Linked DNA regions of Pelodiscus sinensis. The protein of the gene in region 1 purifies or fractionates together with the protein of each later gene. This does not show direct contact. Links are inferred from orthologs where the notes say so. Each region holds a gene or a part of one and is shown on either strand. Other genes may lie near its edges.

The links.
Region 2: the proteins of BICD2 (region 1) and DYNC1I1 purify together in Homo sapiens (affinity purification with western blotting; 4 studies listed by BioGRID and IntAct, with this or other methods). This does not show direct contact. The link is inferred for Pelodiscus sinensis from reciprocal best matches to the Homo sapiens genes BICD2 and DYNC1I1.

Annotation. Positions count from the first base shown.
Region 1 is NC_134721.1:31,013,716-31,023,126, forward strand, and holds the start of BICD2 (protein bicaudal D homolog 2), read left to right. Parts: upstream 1-5,431; 5' UTR 5,432-5,811; coding exon 5,812-6,051; intron 6,052-9,411. UniProt on the Homo sapiens protein: Acts as an adapter protein linking the dynein motor complex to various cargos and converts dynein from a non-processive to a highly processive motor in the presence of dynactin.
Region 2 is NC_134712.1:211,286,857-211,296,318, forward strand, and holds the start of DYNC1I1 (cytoplasmic dynein 1 intermediate chain 1), read right to left. Parts: upstream 3,742-9,462; 5' UTR 3,609-3,741; intron 1-3,608. UniProt on the Homo sapiens protein: Acts as one of several non-catalytic accessory components of the cytoplasmic dynein 1 complex that are thought to be involved in linking dynein to cargos and to adapter proteins that regulate dynein function.

The DNA.
Region 1 (9,411 bases):
TTAGTCTCGAAGGCGCTATAGGACCATTCAATGTTTGTTAAGTATTTTTAGTTACAGACTAACCAAAAAATATAGGTGATATTATGAGCTTTGGTGAGTACAACCCACTTTTTCAGATGACAAATATGGAGCAAGGAGTACAAATATATAGCAGAAAAAGAGAGAAGAGGAGGAGAGGAAAAACCTGTCAATTAAAGTGTCTATGCTAAATAAGTCTAACAGAGTGGGCTGTGAGTGCCCGATACTTAACTTGGGATGTCATTTGGGTGTGGAATATAATGGCCCACCCAAGACAAGTCTTTGCTCAATCCTTGGGTGAATGTGTCAAATAACAAGGGTGGCAGGGTATGAAAACAGCGGCAAGTCATGTGTAGCAGTTCTACTCCGGGACTTTCATGTTCCCTGGGCCAAATTTTGATCTCACAGTGGTATAGATATGGAGCATGTCTAATAAAATCAAAGGAGTTAGTAACATCAGCTTATAACACTGGTGTAAGATCAGCAGCAGTTTGGTTGCATGTAGTGCATGCAATGGGGGGTTTAAAGGAGCATCGCATATGAAGAATTGACATGAATTTAGAGGAAAAATAACGGAGTGTATAAAAGGATAGGTTTTGGCTGTTAAGGGTGTGTGAGGTTTTCTAAATTAAGTCAGATACATACAGGTTTGCTGTTAACACAGAACTCAAGGCATTTTGAAACTTGAAAACTAAAGGAATATTCGTTAACTGCAGCAGACTGTTTACATGAAACTTTTGTTTGTCATCTTCAGGCAAATTTGTTACAGGGAAGAGAATTTAGGCATTACCTCACTGTATTCACATGTCAAATTCAGCCTCTCTAGATGAGCCGTGCAGAGTTTGGATTGGCACAAGCTCCTCAACAACACATTAGCCTTGTAGTCATGAAGCCACCAAGCTAACTTCAGACATTAAAATACTTTATTAAAGAGGCATGTTTTTATATGTACCAAGGTGGATTTGGATGAACGTAGGTACTTAGAAGATTAAAGCAGCCTGAAAAAGCCCTAGAGCTGTAGGCACTGCCCATGTAATGTACTATGTTCTAATCCTCATGTGTGCTCAGACAGGTAATTGTTTTTCATTATGTTTGGCATTTACCTGCCAATTCAATACCAATAAAATCTGAGCTGGGCCTGCTGCAGTAAAGGAACGTCAGGCAAGATCTGAAGCTGACATGCAGAGGGCAAAATAGTGCTCTCAGTTATGCACAGGGCATAACATTTTTCACAGCTCGGATGATGTATCTAGGTCAATATACGTTTTTGTTGTAGGCCAGGCCTATGAGCAGAATGTGGTCAGGACAGTTAGCCCTACATCACGGCTTATAAATTAATTCTACTTATTGTGGAAAAGTAATTACGGCATTCACTGTGTCCTGTTTACTCTTTTTGGTAACCATCATACTTTTATTCATGTACTTATTGCGGCATCTTCTGTGGGGTAAGGTCAGTGAGGACTGTCCTTCCATTGTTGCCAGCTACTCTTCTTGCCTTTGTGGGGTACTGGCATCGATGGGCGAGCACCTGGAGATTGATGTATTGCATCTGAGCAGATGTGATAAATCAATAACCAATGGATCAACCATTGTAGCATCAATCCCCAGCATAGTAGAGACAAGCCCTTAGATACTTATATAGCTCTCCACATTCCTGTAGTGCCTGAGCACTCTACACTCTTCAATGCATTTATCCTAATATTAATCCTGTCATAAGCCATTATTCCCAGTTGGGGGATGGGGAACTGTTAGATGGAGCCACTGACTTGGGAGAGATGAAACAATGGAAAAGGAAGAGATCTCCAATCTTCCTTAGGCACATGGAGGATTTACTGGGCACAATCATCATGGGTATGTCTACACTACCACCCTAGTTTGAACTAGGGTGGTTAATGTAGGCAACTGGAGTTGCAAATGAAGCCCGGGATTTGAATTTCCCGGGCTTCATTTGCATATTGCTGGGCGCCGCCAAAATGTCCACTAGTTCGGACTCCGTACCCGCGGCTACACGCGGCACGAACTAGGTAGCTCGGATTAGGTTTCCTATTCTGAACTACTGGTACACCTTGTTCCACGAGGAGTAACGGTAGTTCGGAATAGGAAGCCTAATCTGAACTACCTAGTTCGTGCCGCGTGTAGCCGCGGGCACGGAGTCCAAACTAGCGGACATTTAAAAATGGCGGCACCCGGCAATATGCAAATGAAGCCCGGGAAATTCAAATCCCGGGTTTCATTTGCAACTCCGGTTGCCTACATTAACCACCCTAGTTCAAACTAGGGTGGTAGTGTAGACATACCCCACATTACTCTAGGTGGGGAAAATTATGGCAAGATGTTTGCTTTCATCTTGTAATTTACTTGCTACCTCATTCTTATGGCCACCCCTGTGCAAAATGGTAAGAGGTCCCCTCCCCTCAGTACTCTGCCAAGTGGCGAATGGTACTCAGTCCTGTGTAGCCATGACACTGTCCTCATCAGCTGTTACTGCTGTTTCTTCCTCCATGCAGCTGGCTGTGATGTTCTCTGGTTTCTGGTGCTCCATCCAAAAAAGATCAAGAAGCCAGGAGATAGCTGATAGCTAGGGAAGAATGCTAAGGAATTCATTCTCTGCCATCACTAGCTGATGCTAATGTTAGATGATGTTGGGCCATTGAGGCTGAAACTCTGGCTGGCAGTTAGGTGTGCAAATGTGGTGAGTGGCCAGTGAAAATCCTGAGCCATATTCACAGCTTCATAGGTCTAAATATGCTACTGCTATGGTGAAATACTAATCATGAACTAATAACTGTACAAAGTATTTAACAAAATTATACCGAGCAAGTAAGATCTTGTAACTTCTGCAAATGTGCATTGCTTATAAAATTCCTTTCCTCTGCATTCTAGTCAGTTGCAAGCCTGGTCTCAATAATACATCTTATGTCACTTACATAGCAAGTTGATTTAGGCCCCACTCCAGCAAATAATTTAAGCATGTGCATAGCTTTAAATGTGAGGAGTTCTATTAAATTCTATGGACTGACTCGTGATTAAAGTTATGCATGTGCTCAGGTGCTTTGCTGGATCTGTATCTTTGAGACAACATAAAGTTTGGTCATGTGTTCACCTTCCCTCATTCATCTTAACTCCCGTATGTCCTTCTGAAAATCTGTAAATAACGATAGTAAAATAATAAAGATGTTAACACAAACATCTAAAAAAATATTGTGCTCCCTGCAAGCTGCTTACCTTTCCCCTTGTTTTCTGGTGTTTCCTTTCCAGCTCTACTCCATTCCACTGTCTGTTGTCATTTCCCCTTTTGTGCTTATCTATTTAGACTGTAAATGCCTGGAAGCCAGAACCTGCTTTCTTATTTATCTGCCCAGCACCATGCTCATCAGTGACTCTACATAAAGAAATAAACAAGCTGAGTGAAAGAAGAATTATACAAAGACCCCAAAGGTAGCAATGTAATTGCCATGACTACCTCATAAACAAGTAGGGTTGCCAGATATTTTCACAAAAAAATACTGAAAAAAATTGGTTGAGGAAAAAAAAGAAAAAGAAAAAGAAACCCCCAAACAAACAAAAAACAAACAAAAAAAACTGGGGGACCAGTATGTTCTGTTTTTTTTTTTTTACTGGACAGAGTCCACAAATACCAGACACCTGGCAACCCTATAAACAAGTGCCCCCCAAGTCAATAATAAATACCTTTACTTTTTAATTTCAAATGACAACATCAGCAAGCATGACAGTTCAGTTATAAATATAGGGAGGAATCTATAGCAACATTAGAAGATCAACAAAAACAATTAGAGGTCTAGAGAAAATATGACCTATATCTGAGGAAAGTCAAAAAGAATTGGATTTGTTTAGTTTGGAAAAGAGAATACTGAGAGATGACATGATAGCAGCTTTCAAATATTTAAAAAGGTGCTATAAGGAGGAGGGAGAAAAAAATAGGTCCAAATCCAGGCAAGCCAGGGGCTACATCCAAACCCCAGGCCTCAGATTCCACACCCCTAATCTAGATAGAGGTAGGTCCTGCCATGAGGGCAGGGAACTGGACTTGACCTTTTGAGGTCCCTTCCAGTTCTAGTATTCTATGATTAAAGGTACTCCTACTTGAGTGAAAGCCTTACAGTACAACTGTTGAAACTATTCCTTGTAACTAGTTAATGCTATCAGAATGCTATAGATCACTTTTAGTTTTTTTAACAATGAAAGAAACAAAGCCAGCACCCTGAAGAAGCATGCATAGTATGCAAGAGCAAACACATGCTTCCATTGTTGCAACCTTTGTTCTCTCTCCTCCCCCCATTCTTTGTAGCCTTCTCTCTTTGTTACTTCTTATCTTCTAGTTAGTAGGCTCTTTAAACCCTTTCTTAAGTACATAGTATTCATTCAGGCAAACATTACCTTTTACTTCACTGGGACTAAGGAGTGAACGGTTTCAGGGGTGGAGAACCTCAGGCCTTGTAGCCAGATGCTCCCCCCCCCCCACTTGCCTGGATCCTGCTCCCCTCAGGGCTGGAGCACACAAAATCTACTAAGCTTGGCCTCCCAAGATTCTGGTGTGCAAGGGGAATGTCTTTCTCCTTCTGAGTTGGCAGCCACTGTCAGTGAGGGTTTTGTTTTTGTTTCTCACTTGTGTGCTGCCCCTGACTGATTTTTGTGTGGGTCAGTGACCCCCAAACCCAAAAAAGTCCCCCACCTCTAACTTTACAGGCTTATGCAAGACCTTGATCCTGGAAAGACCTATACATATTACAAGTTGCATCGACTTCAGTATGTACTAGCACATGCCTAAATCCATGTCCCAGGTCCCCAAAAGATGTATTGTCTTTTGGCTGAGACAATACTGGGTTTTATTTGTAAAGTGCCATACACAACAACAGCACTGTATACACCAATCAATGAATAAATCAACACAGAACTACAACAAAGAAGTCAAACAGATGAATATGACCGATGGTGATGAAAATATTTTTGGGGGAGGGGCGGGGGGAGAGAGGTTTTGTCCTGTTCTGTTTAAAAGCCAGAGGGCTGCGAGTTATATACTAAGTTCACTTCCAATCACAGACAATGAGTCCGATTCCCAAAGCTATTTAACTGCCCAACTTCTGCTGATTTCACTTGAGTGGCCCCTGTTTGCAATGAACAGCAACCTACTGTATGACCTTCTGCCCCCCGCCGCAAGAATGCAGCCACCTATGTGTAACGCAGCCTGTAGGGGTCACTGTCACAAGTGAAAGTTGCCCTGATGCCGAAGAGGATCCTAACCCAGCCCCCGCTGCCAGCTTCTTCCCCCAGCCAGAATTCCTCCAAGAGGCTGGGCTGCCTTCCAGCTGGTCTGCCCGCCCTGTGCATTGTGGGACTCGTAGTCCTCTCCGGCGCAGGCTTGCTTGGCGCTAGGGGGAGGCGGGACTACAAGTCCTACAAGGCCCGCGGGGCAGCTGGCGCTGGCCGTTCCTTTTGAATGATTTCACTGCGCTGTGCCTGCCCAGCGCGTTTCGCAGCAGCCTGCCGGAGGAGGCAGGGAGCATGGTGTAAGGGCCGGGCGGGGAGGGGGCTGCCGCCGGGGACGAGAGCCGCCAGCCTAGCGCCCAGCCCGGTTCATGGCAGCCGGGGGAGCTGGCAGCGCCGCAGCGGGGCCAAGTTGTGCTGGCGCAGGGCGGCCCATGGCAGCCCAGCGGCTGCGGGGCTGGTAAGGGCGCTGCGTCCGTCCCCTCACTGCCCGGCTCGCCCCGCAGCCCCCCTCGCTGCGCTGCCCCGTCGGACGGGGCTGGGAGGCGCCGCGCCCGGCCGGCCGAGATGGCTCTGGCCACGGAGGAGGAGGAGTACGCCAAGCTGGTGATGGAGTCGGAGCCCGAGTGGCTGCGGAGCGAGCTCAAGCGGCTCTCGCAGGAGCTGGGCGAGACCACCCGGGAGAAGATCCAGGCGGCGGAGTACGGGCTGGCCGTGCTGGAGGAGAAGCAGCAGCTCAAGCAGCAGTACGAGGAGCTGGAGGCGGAGTACGAGACCATCCGCTCGGAGATGGAGCAGCTGAAGGAGGTGAGCCGCGGGGTGGTGGCCCGGGGTGACACGCCGGGAGTGGGCAAGGCAGGGAGCGCGGCGCAGCGGCCGCAGCACTGTGTGACTTTGGGGGGGGTCCCCTCCGCCTTGGGGGTCCCCTCAAGGTAAAGCCGCTGCGGAGCCTGGAGTGGCTCCTGGGGCGTGGTCCTCCCCCCCCCCAAAGGCACGCAGGACCGATGATGCACCCGCAGGGCTGCGGCAAGGACTGGCTGATCGCTGCCTGCCACGCAGCGGTGGAGATATGGCGGGGGCGTAGGGGATGCATCGCTCCTGGGAGCTGCTCTGGCCGGTCTGGGCGCGCGGGTGGATGTGATTCCCCCTCCCCGCGAAGTTTGGCTTCAGCTCTCGCTGGGCAGCAGCTGCGGGCTGCATCTTCCAACTGGGCTGGAGCGCAGCATCCTGCCCAGTGCGGTGTCACGGCCAGATCCGGCATCATCACGCTCATCACTGCTGGCGTAATGCTGGGCAGCCCTTTAAAGGGACAGCTCGGCAATTCCTCTAAGACCCTCTGCCCTTCCCATGACATCTGCTGTGTCTTCGCTCAGCTGGGCGCCAGGCACAGGAAAGCGGATACTTGAGGCTAATGCGCTGGAGATCAAGTGCCAGTCTGGGACTGAGTGTGCTCCGTGCAGGGGGAAAGGAATAATGGAAGTGACCGTAATTCTGTTCTTTGCTGCATAATGGTACACAGCCCAGGGCTCCCACAAAGCACCTCTTACATGAACCCAGTTCCCTGACTGTGAGGTGCAATTTGATATTGGAATCAATTTTTTCTCTCAACTTTCCCATCCCCCAGATATACACTGTTTTGTGAATTGCATTATTTCAATCTGGTTGTTTATAAACGGGATAAATATGGGGAGTGAACTATGAGTTACATTAAATAGATTTCCCCACCTAAGTACAAAGCTTTAAAATAGTATTTTATTTTAAAGCAGAAAATTTGTTGAGAGATAACTGTTAGGAGCAGGCCTTCTTATAATAGGTTGAATAATTGATATTGAAATATTGGCTACTGAGCATTCCGAGGATCCTTTCTGCACAGTGCTGAGGGGTCTCTAATAAGTTATCCTTATAAGAAACAGTCTGTAAAGACCAGCAAAGGAATGAATGGCTCTGCATGTGTAGAAATGCCATACTCGGTGCCAAAGATCCACCTACTGCTGAGCCGTTTGACACACTGTGTCAGCCATCCATGTTAGAGCTTTAATGGGACATGGAGCTTCCTGGCAACAGAGCCAAAAGTGCAGAAATAAAATAATTGGCCTTTTGAGCATTAAAGTGTAAAGCAGAGGCGTGTCAGCATTAACTTGGAAATTCCTCGTTGTTGCTGGATTGCCTTAGGGCCAAGTGCAGGCCCCTAGCTTTGAAGTTCCTCACCTCACAAGTGAATGGGTCAGGGGGAGCTCTCACTTTTCCTACTGCTAATTGTTCCAGGCCCTGGAGATCATCTTCTGCAACAGTAGACTGAAGGGAAAACTTCACTTGGCATGGTGATTATAGGGTAATTACAGTGAGGTTTACTTCTTCTCCCCTATCACTCAACTAGGGGTGGGGACAGGTAAATATGCTCCTCAACCCCCCAGGCTCTGTAAACAAAGGCTGGGGAGTCCCTTAATCTTCAGCCAGCAGTGAAGAGACAAAGCACTTCTTTCCATGAGTCCAGGAGTGTTGCTCTTCATCTGTCCATGTTACAGGATGCCCGTGAGGGCAGAGAGCAGCTGTGTTCACCTATTCCTCTGGCCCGCTCAGCACCAAAGATCTAATCCTCCACAGGGTGAAAATGGAAGAGCAGAGGAGTGGAAGAGAACCAGAGAGCTATGGGAGGGCGGGCCTAGGCTGAAGTGGCATAGGCTCAGATCACATGGAGAAGCGGAGGAACTGTAAGAGGCTGGAGATCCAAGAGTGGAAAAACAGGGCTTGAGCGACCAGAACTCCTGTTGAGGGGGGACCAGGTACCTAGGAGAGTAGGGATCGAGCTCCTGCAGAAAGGATTTCTCAGTGCTCATTTGAAAGTATGGAGTTCCTGGGGATGTAGAGGGAATGAGGTGGAAGGGCATATGATGCAATGCAGGGCAGTGAGGAAGAGCATACAGATGCTCTTGTCTGTGGCCAGACTGTATTGGGCTATCTCTCTCTCACAGGGTCCTAGAGCCAGAGCCCAGGCCCCAGCCTGGAAGTCTGCTAAGCAATGAAATGCCTGTCAGCCTGAGCCCCATGAGCCTGAGTCAGCTGGCATAGGCCAGCTAAGGGTTTGTCATTGCAGTGTAGCCATACCCAAATTTGTTTCTGTGCAGGTCTGAGCTTGTTTAAAGCAAACCCCAACTTAAGCTTTTTCCCATCAATAGGATTGTTCAGTCTCTTCATATCTCAGTCTCCTCCACCCTTGGCTCTTTTGTCCCTCTCTCCCATTGTAAGGTCTGTCCTTGCAACCCCTGGCCCTGGCTCACCTTCAACATCTGCTTCCCTCTTTCCTGCTGCTCAGTCTCTGACAATCCCATGACCAGATGGCTTATTTCCTTGTGCTCCCATCAGTCTCTCTTCATTCGTCTGTTATTGCTTGCCTTGTACTTGAATCTGGAGTTTACCTAGAACTTAGGAAAACCTAGTGATATTGTTCAGGGCTGTGAAAAATTTCACATGCTGAGTGCTTTAGTCAGGATCACCTAGCCCCCCATTTAGACATAGCTAGGAGTGATGGAAGGATTCTTCTGGTAATCTAGCTGTCACCCAGCTTGGAAAGGTGGGTTGCCATTACCTGTGTTGCTGGAAAAATTCCGACACAGCCAGCCATGGTGTTGCCATAGCATTGTATTGCAGACAGACCCGGAGACTGTAAGTTGTTTGCGGCGTTACCTGACAGGTTAACTGGTTATCCAGTTAACTACCAAACATTATTCGTAATGATTACTGATTTTGGGCTGGAGCAGCTCCACTGTCTGCCACAGGCGTCTGGAGCAGCTTCTGTCTGTGGCAGGCTCAGGCGCCCTGAAGACAGTAACTGCTCTGGAGGGGGCTGAGAGCCCCATGGGCTAAGCTGCTACTGCAGCCATGCTGGAACAGACCCCAGCCCAGATCCTACGTTAGTCAGTTAATGGGTTAAACATTAGGCTAGCCTGACTGGTTAACTGATCAACTGGGATTTTATATCCCTGGCAGAGGACTGCCTTTTCTGGTTTTGTGTGGTGCCTTGCGCTGTGGGGTCCTGGTCAATGACTAGGTCTCCTAGGCACTATGCTAATACGGATAATAATACTGTAAGCTGAAGTAAAAGTGGGTGCTCTGAATTCAAAGTAAGAGTGGTTACACACACATGTGTACTAAAACTTGTTTAATGAT
Region 2 (9,462 bases), on another chromosome or scaffold:
AACGGTTCTAAATCCTGCTGGAAAGGGATAACAAGTGGAGTTCCTCAAGGGTCTGTTTTGGGACCCATACTGTTCAATATCTTCATCAATGATGTAGATATTGGGATAGAGAGTACGCTTATTAAGTTTGCAGATGATACCAAACTGGGTGGGGTTGCGACTTCTTTGGAGGATAGGGACATAATTCAGAATGACCTTAGCAAGTTAGAGAAATGGTCGGAGGTAAACAGGATGAGGTTTAATAGAGAGAAATGCAAAGTGCTCCACTTAGGAAGGAACAATCAGTTCCATACATACAAGATGGGAAGCGACTGTCTAGGAAGGAGCATGGCAGAAAGGGATCTAGGGGTCATAGTGGACCACAAGTTGAATATGAGTCAACAGTGTGATGCTGTTGCAAAAAAAGCAAATATGATTCTAGGTTGTATTAACAGGTGTGTTGTAAGCAAAACTCGTGAAGTCATTCTGCCGCTCTACTCTGCACTAGTTAGGCCTCAGCTGGAGTACTGTGTCCAGTTCTGGGCGCCACATTTCAAGAAAGATGTGGAGAAATTGGAAAGGGTACAGAGAAGAGCGACAAGAATGATTAAAGGTTTAGAGAACATGACCTATGAAGCCAGGCTTCATGAACTGGGCTTGTTTAGTTTGGAAAAAAGAAGATTAAGGGGGGACATGATAGCGGTTTTCAAATATCTAAAAGGGTGTCACAAGGAGGAAGGAGAAAATTTGTTCCTCTTGGTTTCTGAGGACAGGACAAGGAGTAATGGGCTTAAAGTGCAGCAGGGGAGGTTTAGATTGGACATTAGGAAAAAATTCCTAACTGTCAGGGTGGTCAAATATTGGAATAAATTGCCAAGGGAGGTGGTGGAATCTCCCTCTCTGGAGATATTTAAGAACAGGTTAGATAGACATCTGTCAGGGATGGTGTAGACGGAGCTTGATCCTGCCTTGAGGGCAGGGGGCTGGACTCGATGACCTCTCGAGGTCCCTTCCAGTCCTATGATTCTATGATTCTATGATTCTACAGTCCCATTTGACCAGCTGCTTCATGTTCCACTAGAGAACACAGAGAAGGGAAGGCACTGAGTTGTTAGGAGTCAAGTGGGCTGAACCCGCCTGCACCTAGAAGTGGCAGGTGCCTGAGTGGAATCTGCCCTGCTACAACAGCCCTTCAGGTAGCAAGGCCAAATGGAAGGCAGAAATCTGGAGGGGCAAGTGACCCCATCTGTTCACCCCACATGTCACCTCTGACTCCTAGTGCAGACCTTGGCTAAGTTTCCCTCCACAGTCCCATCTCTCGGTGTTTGCAAAGAAACCCTTGAAAATGTAAAAGAAGTGCCAGCCTGACTGCATTAGCAGAGAGCCTGAAACAATAGATCTGACAAGTGTGACCTGCTCCATTCATGTCGAGGGTATTTCCTCAACATACTCAATGCTGATACCTCAAATATCAGCATCTACTTCTAAGGTCAGTCGTATCATGAAGATCTACACAAGCTTGAGTGCACCTACACTTTTACCACCCAGCTACCATTTTCCCACAGCCATTGTAACCCCACCTCTTCCTGGGTCTCTCTCTACTGCAGCTGTCCTTAGAAAGCAGGTTCTCACAGTTTGGGGAGGAAAGCAGGAAAGGTAATTCAGATTCAGGCTATATTAACTTGTGTTGGTGTCTACTACTCTTTATGTGCAGTAGAGTCCACAGGAAAGCAGCTGGTCCCACCGTGTGCTTCTCTCTACACTCCACAGAGCCCTCCTGGGACACTTTTATGGGTTGAAGGGAAGTGGAAGGGAATGTGTCACAGAGGTAGAACTCCACTGAGAAGTTTGGCTTTTTAAATGGTGAAAAATGTATGCAGTGAGGACAGCCCCCATGATCCAGGGGTAACATGCTGGATCTGGGTATGAGCTTGTTCCCTTGGGAGCACAGCAGATGCTCCCCGAGGCAGAATTTCAGCCCTTGGGGGAGCTGACACTCCAAATTGTGATTGAGTAACCCACTCTTGCTCAGGCTCAGAGGAACAGCACTGAGCTTTATTGCTCCCCGTTGAGGATTTTGGGGGCAGGGTGAAAGGTGTTCCTGTTTGGACTTCTGAGCATGAAAGGGCAATTAAAAGTGAGTAAGTAAGATTTGGAAGGTGCCGCCTCTGGAAGGAGCATATCCCATTTTCTTAAAAAGGTGGCATGTTAGAAACAGGTGAATAACAATGACAGAAATCCATCCAGTAGCATTGGTAACATTTTCACCCCTGACAAAGGGTGAATTGCACTATAGAAAAGTTGAGCCTGTTCTCTAGGTCATTTTGTTTCCTCACATGTAAAGGAAATCTAAGAAAAAGATCGTCAAGATAAATTACTAGGTGCAAGTGTCCAAAGCCTAGCACATGTCAGGCCTTTCCACTACATCCCTAGTATGCATTAGGTTACAATATTTTGATCTGTTTAGATTCTATAGGCCATAAAGTATTGAAGGTAGAAGATCTTGACTCTGTATTAATATTAACCAATCATATGCTACTTCAGTCTGGTTTTCCACACTGGATCTTAAAAGTGATACTGGTAAATGAAAATGAATCCAAGGCACAGGGAAAAAATGGCTTTCATACCAGGGCAAGGCCTGAGATAATTTAAAAGTGTGGGTTTCTTGTCTTTTGAGAGGGTTCTGGATAGAGTATTACTGCATGGCACATTTGTTATATCTATGCTTTTCCAATCAATAATATATATGGTGCCTACTGATCTTCAGCTACACCAGACTAACAGGGCTACATTTCTATCACTGCTGATCTTAGGGAATTCCGGGCAGAGGATGGACATAGCTATAAAAGCATTTTATTGAGAAATTGATTTAAACTCACTAATCATAGGAAAATGGCCTCTCAGTCCATCCTTTATTAACCCTGCTGTGAAACTAGCGATAAGGGAAGATTGAATATTAATTCTGCAGGCCGAGGTGGATTTAAGTAAGTCCGTGGTTGCTTTTATTAAACAGGAAATTAAACACAGGAACCGGCTTTGATTTAACCTCTTCAGAGCTGACACGAAAACCAAGCACCATAGCCTCTCCTCTCCTCTCCACCCCACCCCGCCTAGTAGGAGGCACCTGCTCTGACGATGCACTAATAGGAATGGGCATGGCTGTAAACTGGGACGAGACCAGGGAGACAGGCGAGAGGGCTGGTGAAACGCTCTGGGAGGCCAGCTAGTGCATCCCCCCGCTAGCAGGTCTGGTCTCTCTAGTTTGAAAGGTGCCGGGCTTTGTCCAGACGGAGCGAGGACCCTCCGATTTAGGAGAGCGTCACTCAGCTGCGGTCACCAGAGCACTTTGCATCCTGTCAGCAACCGCAGAGCGGTCCCGAGCTGTTTCCTATGGGGGGGGGGGCGTTTTCAGTGCCTGTCTTCCCCGCCCTTTTCCATGCAGGCTGGCTGCTTTCTCCAGTGCTAGAAAAGCCGAGCAAAGAGAGAGCGTTTCTCGGCCCCCTGCCCCCTGCCAGCTTTTACACTCGGCATCCCGGGCGCGTCCTTCCCCACCTCAGAGCACCAGGCTCGGGCAGGTGACGCTGCGGGTGGTACCCCCAGAGACACGCGCCTCCCTCCACAGGCTTTACCTTGCTGGGCTCCCGGGCAGCTGTGGAGCGGTTCGGCGCAGCGCTCCCCGGCCAGGGCAGCTGGGAGGAGGTGGACAGAGCCCGGCGCTCCCCGGCAGGTTGACTCCCCAATGGCTGCTGCCGCTGCGCTGTGTGGTGGTGCCCCTCTCTGCAGCGTGATCGCTGCTGCTGCGGCTGGGGAAATGCGCTGCCTCGCGCTGGCCAAGCTCCTCCCGGGCACCGCCGCTTCCCTCCTCCTCCTCGCCCCTGGCACTGACATCTCCCCGCCTCCCTGCAGCCCAGCCCCGCGCATCTTCAGCGAGAGAGGCAGCCCCTCCCCGAGACACACTCACGGGGGGCGGCGGGAGGGGGCGGTAGCTATCCCTGCCAGGCCCTGGCGCTAGGGACTCGGGGGGGGGGGGGGGGCGGAGGGCAAAAGGGACCGGGGAAAGTGTCACATTCAGGAGCATCAGGGTCATTTGTGCTGCTCGAGTCAGTAGCACAAGTCACATCCAGGCTGACACAGGGACACCTAGTCTGCAACTTGAGTGGAAAGGCCCCATTAGTCATGCCTATGACAGGCACCAGGGCTGCCCACCATTTCAAAGCAGGAGAGTTAGGCCACACCCAGCCTGTGTCATTGGGAAGGGGCACATCCTGTCAGTGACCCCAAATATTACAGGAAACTCAAAAGAACATATGTTTGCCCTACAATACAAAGGCACAAGGGCAAATGGGGCAGAAGAATTTGCTGCATCTGGCACACAGCTTGAAGAATGTCCACATCCAGACCCCAGCACAAAGGCATCAGAGGCTCACCGTGCCCCCTACTAGTTAGTCACATTCAGCTGGGCTGCACCAAATCACAAACCTCACCTACAAAAACAAAGCTTTGCAGAGGGACTGAGGTAGGCCAGTTGCTGTTGAAGGCACAGTGGTCCCCAATTGGAGCAAGGTAGCAAATATCACACACCCCACAGATTCTCTCTTTCCTTTAAGTTCTCCTAAAAGCTATTGTGCCTTGGACAGGAAGACCTGGAAATAGGCTTTAGTTAAGATATGAAATATAAGTACCAAGCTGAGGTGCCTCAATTTTGGGGTGTTCAACTTGAGACACCATCTGAAGAGCAGAACCCTTTTTGCTGCTTCCTTCTTCAGAAGCTGTCCAGGAATAGGGTCAAAGTGGTCTTTTACTGTCATGCCATGTTCCTGAATGGACAAAGCCAGACCATTTCATCATGATAGCAGTAGAGAAATATCTGTCTACTTTTATTGTTATTATGGTAACACTGAAGATGTATTAGGCATTTGTCAAAAACAGGAAAACCAAGTCCACACTCTTTGGTCTTCCAGGTCAAAGATGTAGTGTTTAGTGACACTTTACTGGCCATTTCAAAAGATACATGATACATTATTAACCTAAATGCTGTTATATATTTTTTTGAAATGCCATTATATTTGTTACAAATTAATACAATTCCATGTTTCAGCAATTGCTCACACCACACTTCCTTAAAACCACAATACACCCTGGCTACGTATAGACTACATCCCATTTTCGTAAAAGGGATGTAAATTAGATGTATCGCAATTGCTAATGAAGCGGGGATTTAAATCTCCAGTGCTTCATTAGCAAAAAAATGGCTGCCGCTTTTTTTTTGGCACGGAGCTTTGCCAGAGAAAAGCACCAGTCTAGATGCTGATCTTTCAGAAAATAAAGCCTTTTACAAAAGATCTCTTATCCCTTATTTCAAGAGGGATAAGGGATCTTTCAGAAAAGGCTTTATTTCCCGAAACATCAGCGTTTAGACTGGCGCTTTTCTCCGGCAAAGCTCCTTGCCGAAAAAAAGCAGCAGCCATTTTTATGCTAATGAAGCATGGGAGATTTAAATCCCCGCTTCATTAGCAATTGTGATACGTCTAATTTACATCCCTTTTACGAAAAAGGGATGTAGTCTAGACGTAGCCCCTCAATCCCCATAGAGATGCACTTTTTTATATGTCCTACCCCTGTGCTTCAGCATAGGGACATGTGCTACATCCAGGTCAGTTGGGGCACATCTACACAGCAGAGCTAAACTAGCTAATTGTGTAGCTTAAGTCAAAATAATTTATTTCAACTTTTGGTGCCGTCTACACAGCAGTTATTTCAAAATAGAGTACTCTTCCCCCAACTTCCCTTCCTCCTCATACAATGAGGGTTACAGGAGTCGGAGTAAGAAGTCCTCCAGCTCAACATTATTTCTACATTATGTCTAAATAATTGCTTGTGTGTAGATGCAGACTATGTTATTTTGGAATAGCATAAGTTATTCCAAAATAATGCTGCTGTGTTGACATAGCCTTGGAATAGGAAGTGGTTACATCAAGTCTATAGCTTCATTGTTAGATGACACTTACTCTATCCTAACGATGCCACAATTCAATGTCAAAAGGGAAGGTACAGAAGAAAACAAATTAATAAATAGCAACAGGTTGCCAGTGAAGTCAGTAGGGGTATGTCTACACTACCCCGCTAGTTCAAATTAGCGGGGTAATGTAGGCATACCGCAATTTGCATACGCCGAGTGCCGCCATTTTTAAATCCCGGCTGGTTCGAACCCCGTGCCACACGGCTACACGCGGCACGAACTACCGTTACTCCTCGTGGAATGCCTACCTAGTTCGTGCCGCGTGTAGCTGCGCGGCACGGGGTTCGAACCAGCCGGGATTTAAAAATGGCAGCACCCGGCTTATGCAAATGAAGCCCGGGAAATTCAAATCCCGGGCTTCATTTGCAATTGCGGTATGCCTACATTACCCTCCTATTTCGAAATAGGAGGGTAGTGTAGACATACCCCTATAGGAGTCTATCATACAAAATTTTGAAAGGAACTTTAAGAATAAAATTGCTTATGTATAATAAAACAGCTATTATATTGAGGGATGGAGAGAAATAAATGTTGTTGTTGTGCCTATCTTTACAAAGGTACTTTAGGGGTGCTCCTGGGAATTACCAAACCTAGGAACCAGTCAGAAACCTGTAAAATTAATCAACGCAGTGAGCCCTCTACTCCTTGTGCTCTCTGATTTCTTACCTTCTCTACCTCTGCACAATATGGCTTGTCATTTTTGTTGAATTCATGATCTAATTTAGACTACAAGCTCTAAAGGAGAGTCAAGAAAACATTATTAATAATATCTATTTCAGCATCAATTCATAACAAACAATACATTTTTCATCATCACCCACAGTCTGTCCCAATTCTGTATCTTCACTTTTAATTAATACCTGTAAAATTTTGCAAGTAGTTATGTTCAGCCATGTGATATTAGACAATCATTTAGCTAAATAATTAATGATGTCTAAGGTGACTATGCAATAGGAGAGATGCCAGGTTCTTAAAGTTCCCTGAATTCTAAATTTCTCGACTTCTGAGTTCAAACAGCAGTGGTTTTAGGCCTTTAAATGTATTTTTAGGTCAGCATTTTGAAGCAAGATAATGAATCTTCAGAAATGGATGAATCATAGAACCATAGAGCTGGAAGAGACCTCAGAAGGTCATCAAGTCCAGCCCCCTGCCCTAGGCAGGACCAGTCCCAACTAAATCAACCCAGCCAGGGCTTTGTCAAGCTGAGACTTAAAAATCTCTAGGGATGGAGACTCCACTACTTCCCTAGGTAACCTATTCCAGTGCTTCACCACTCTCCTAGTAAAATAGTTTTTCCTAATATCCAACCTGGACCTCTCCCACCTCAACTTGAGAGATCTGAGATGTTGTACTCCATCCAAAAGAGGGCAATGACAGAAATATGAATAATAGCCAGTATATTAAAACACTTCTCATTCCCTTTGTCACACAAATCTGAGATTTAGGTACAAGCTTGGCCAAAGCATATGTAAATATAATGTAAAAAAATGCACTGTAATAAAATGATTAAACCTCCAGGCTACGTCTACACTGGCCCCTTTTCCGGAAGGGACATGTAAATTTCAGCAGTCGTCGTAGGGAAATCCGCGGGGGATTTAAATATCCCCCGCGGCATTTAAATAAAAATGTCCGCCGCTTTTTTCCCGCTTTTAAAAAAGCCGGAAAAGAGCGTCTACACTGGCCCCGATCCTCCGGAAAAAGCGCCCTTTTCCGGAGGCTCTTATTCCTACTTCAAAGTAGGAATAAGAGCCTCCGGAAAAGGGCGCTTTTTCCGGAGGATCGGGGCCAGTGTAGACGCTCTTTTCCGGCTTTTTTAAAAGCCGGAAAAAAGCGGCGGACATTTTTATTTAAATGCCGCGGGGGATATTTAAATCCCCCGCGGATTTCCCTACGACGACTAGTGAAATTTACATGCCCCTTCCGGAAAAGGGGCCAGTGTAGACGTAGCCCCAATGTCTGTCTATATCCCATTCTCTATCACATGCACACTTGTAAAATATAAATGATACGGTCATGTGTGGAAGGTCCAACATTTGATTGTTTCTTATATTTATGAAGTCCATATACAACTATATTTTAAAATGAATAATAATTTGACAATCTTTTTTACAGTTTATTACTGTAGTTTGTTGAAATACTAAATATTAATGAAAAAAAATCACATTAGGTTATTATGATAAACAATGTGATACACAGCAACAGTTGACCCAACAACCTCTTTATGCTATATGGGAGAGGGCACGAGGTTACAATGATCCTCGAGTCTCGTGTTTATATATTAGTGCTACAAAAAGTGTCATGTGAGATCTCTAACAAAAGCCAGTGATATAATGGTCACCATAATCACTGCAGGATGCATGGGAGGATAATATGTAAGATTATAACACATAATCAGTCTCTGTCTACAAGGCCTTAACATCATAACTTCATATATACATATTACACATTAAGTTATATGTTAAGCCCTTAGGGTACGTCTACACTACAGCGCTAGTTCGAACTAAGCTAATTCGAACTAACGCGTCTAGAACTAAAAACTAGTTCGAATTAGCGTTTTGCTAATTCGAACTAGCAAGTCCACATTGAGTGGACTCTGAACAGGGCTTAAGGATGGCCGGAAGCAGTGCCGGCAGGGCATAAGAGGAGGACTTAGAGCATGGAGATGCTGTCTCAGGCTAGCCGAGGGCTGCGCTTAAAGGGTCCCGACCCCCACCCCGGACACACAGTTCTAAGGGGTGCCCCACTTGCAAAGAAGTTCTGGCTTGGAGTGCCCGGAGTACCCACACTGGGCACATCACACCACTCGGCCATCAGCCCGGCTGCACTTGCCGCAGGCTGCCATCTGGGGAGAGGGGGCAATTGGGGGGCTGCAGGAGAGCTTCCACCCCCAGAAGCCCGCAGAGCCAGCCCAGTCCTCCCCATCGGGGGCTCGTACCCCATTCCTCCCTCACCTCCTTCCACTTACCCTTCCCTAGCCCCCCTTCTTATTGATGTACAAAATAAAGATAACATTTCTTCCAACATTGACTCTGTCTTTATTGAACAAAACTGGGGGAGACCGGGAAAAGGAGGTGGGAAAGGGGAAGAGAAAGGCTGGGAGAGGGGAGGGCAACTAACATGATCAGGGGTTGGGAACAGGTCCCAGATGAAGAGAGGCTACAGAGACTGGGACTGTTCAGCTTAGAAAAGAGGAGATGGAGCGGAGACAGAATAGAGGTCTTTAAAAGCAGGGGTTGGGTGGAGAGGGTGCATTCAGAAAAGTTCTTCATAAGTTTCCATAAAGAAGGACTAGAGGACACCAAAGGAAAGGAATGGGTAGCAGGCTTCAAACTAGTAAGAGAAAGTTGTTCTTCTTCACAAAGCAAATAGTTAACCTGTGGAACTCCTTGCTGCAGGAGGCTGTGAAGGCTACAACTAGAACAGAGTTGAAAGGGAAGTGAGATCAAGTCATGGAGGTTGGGTCC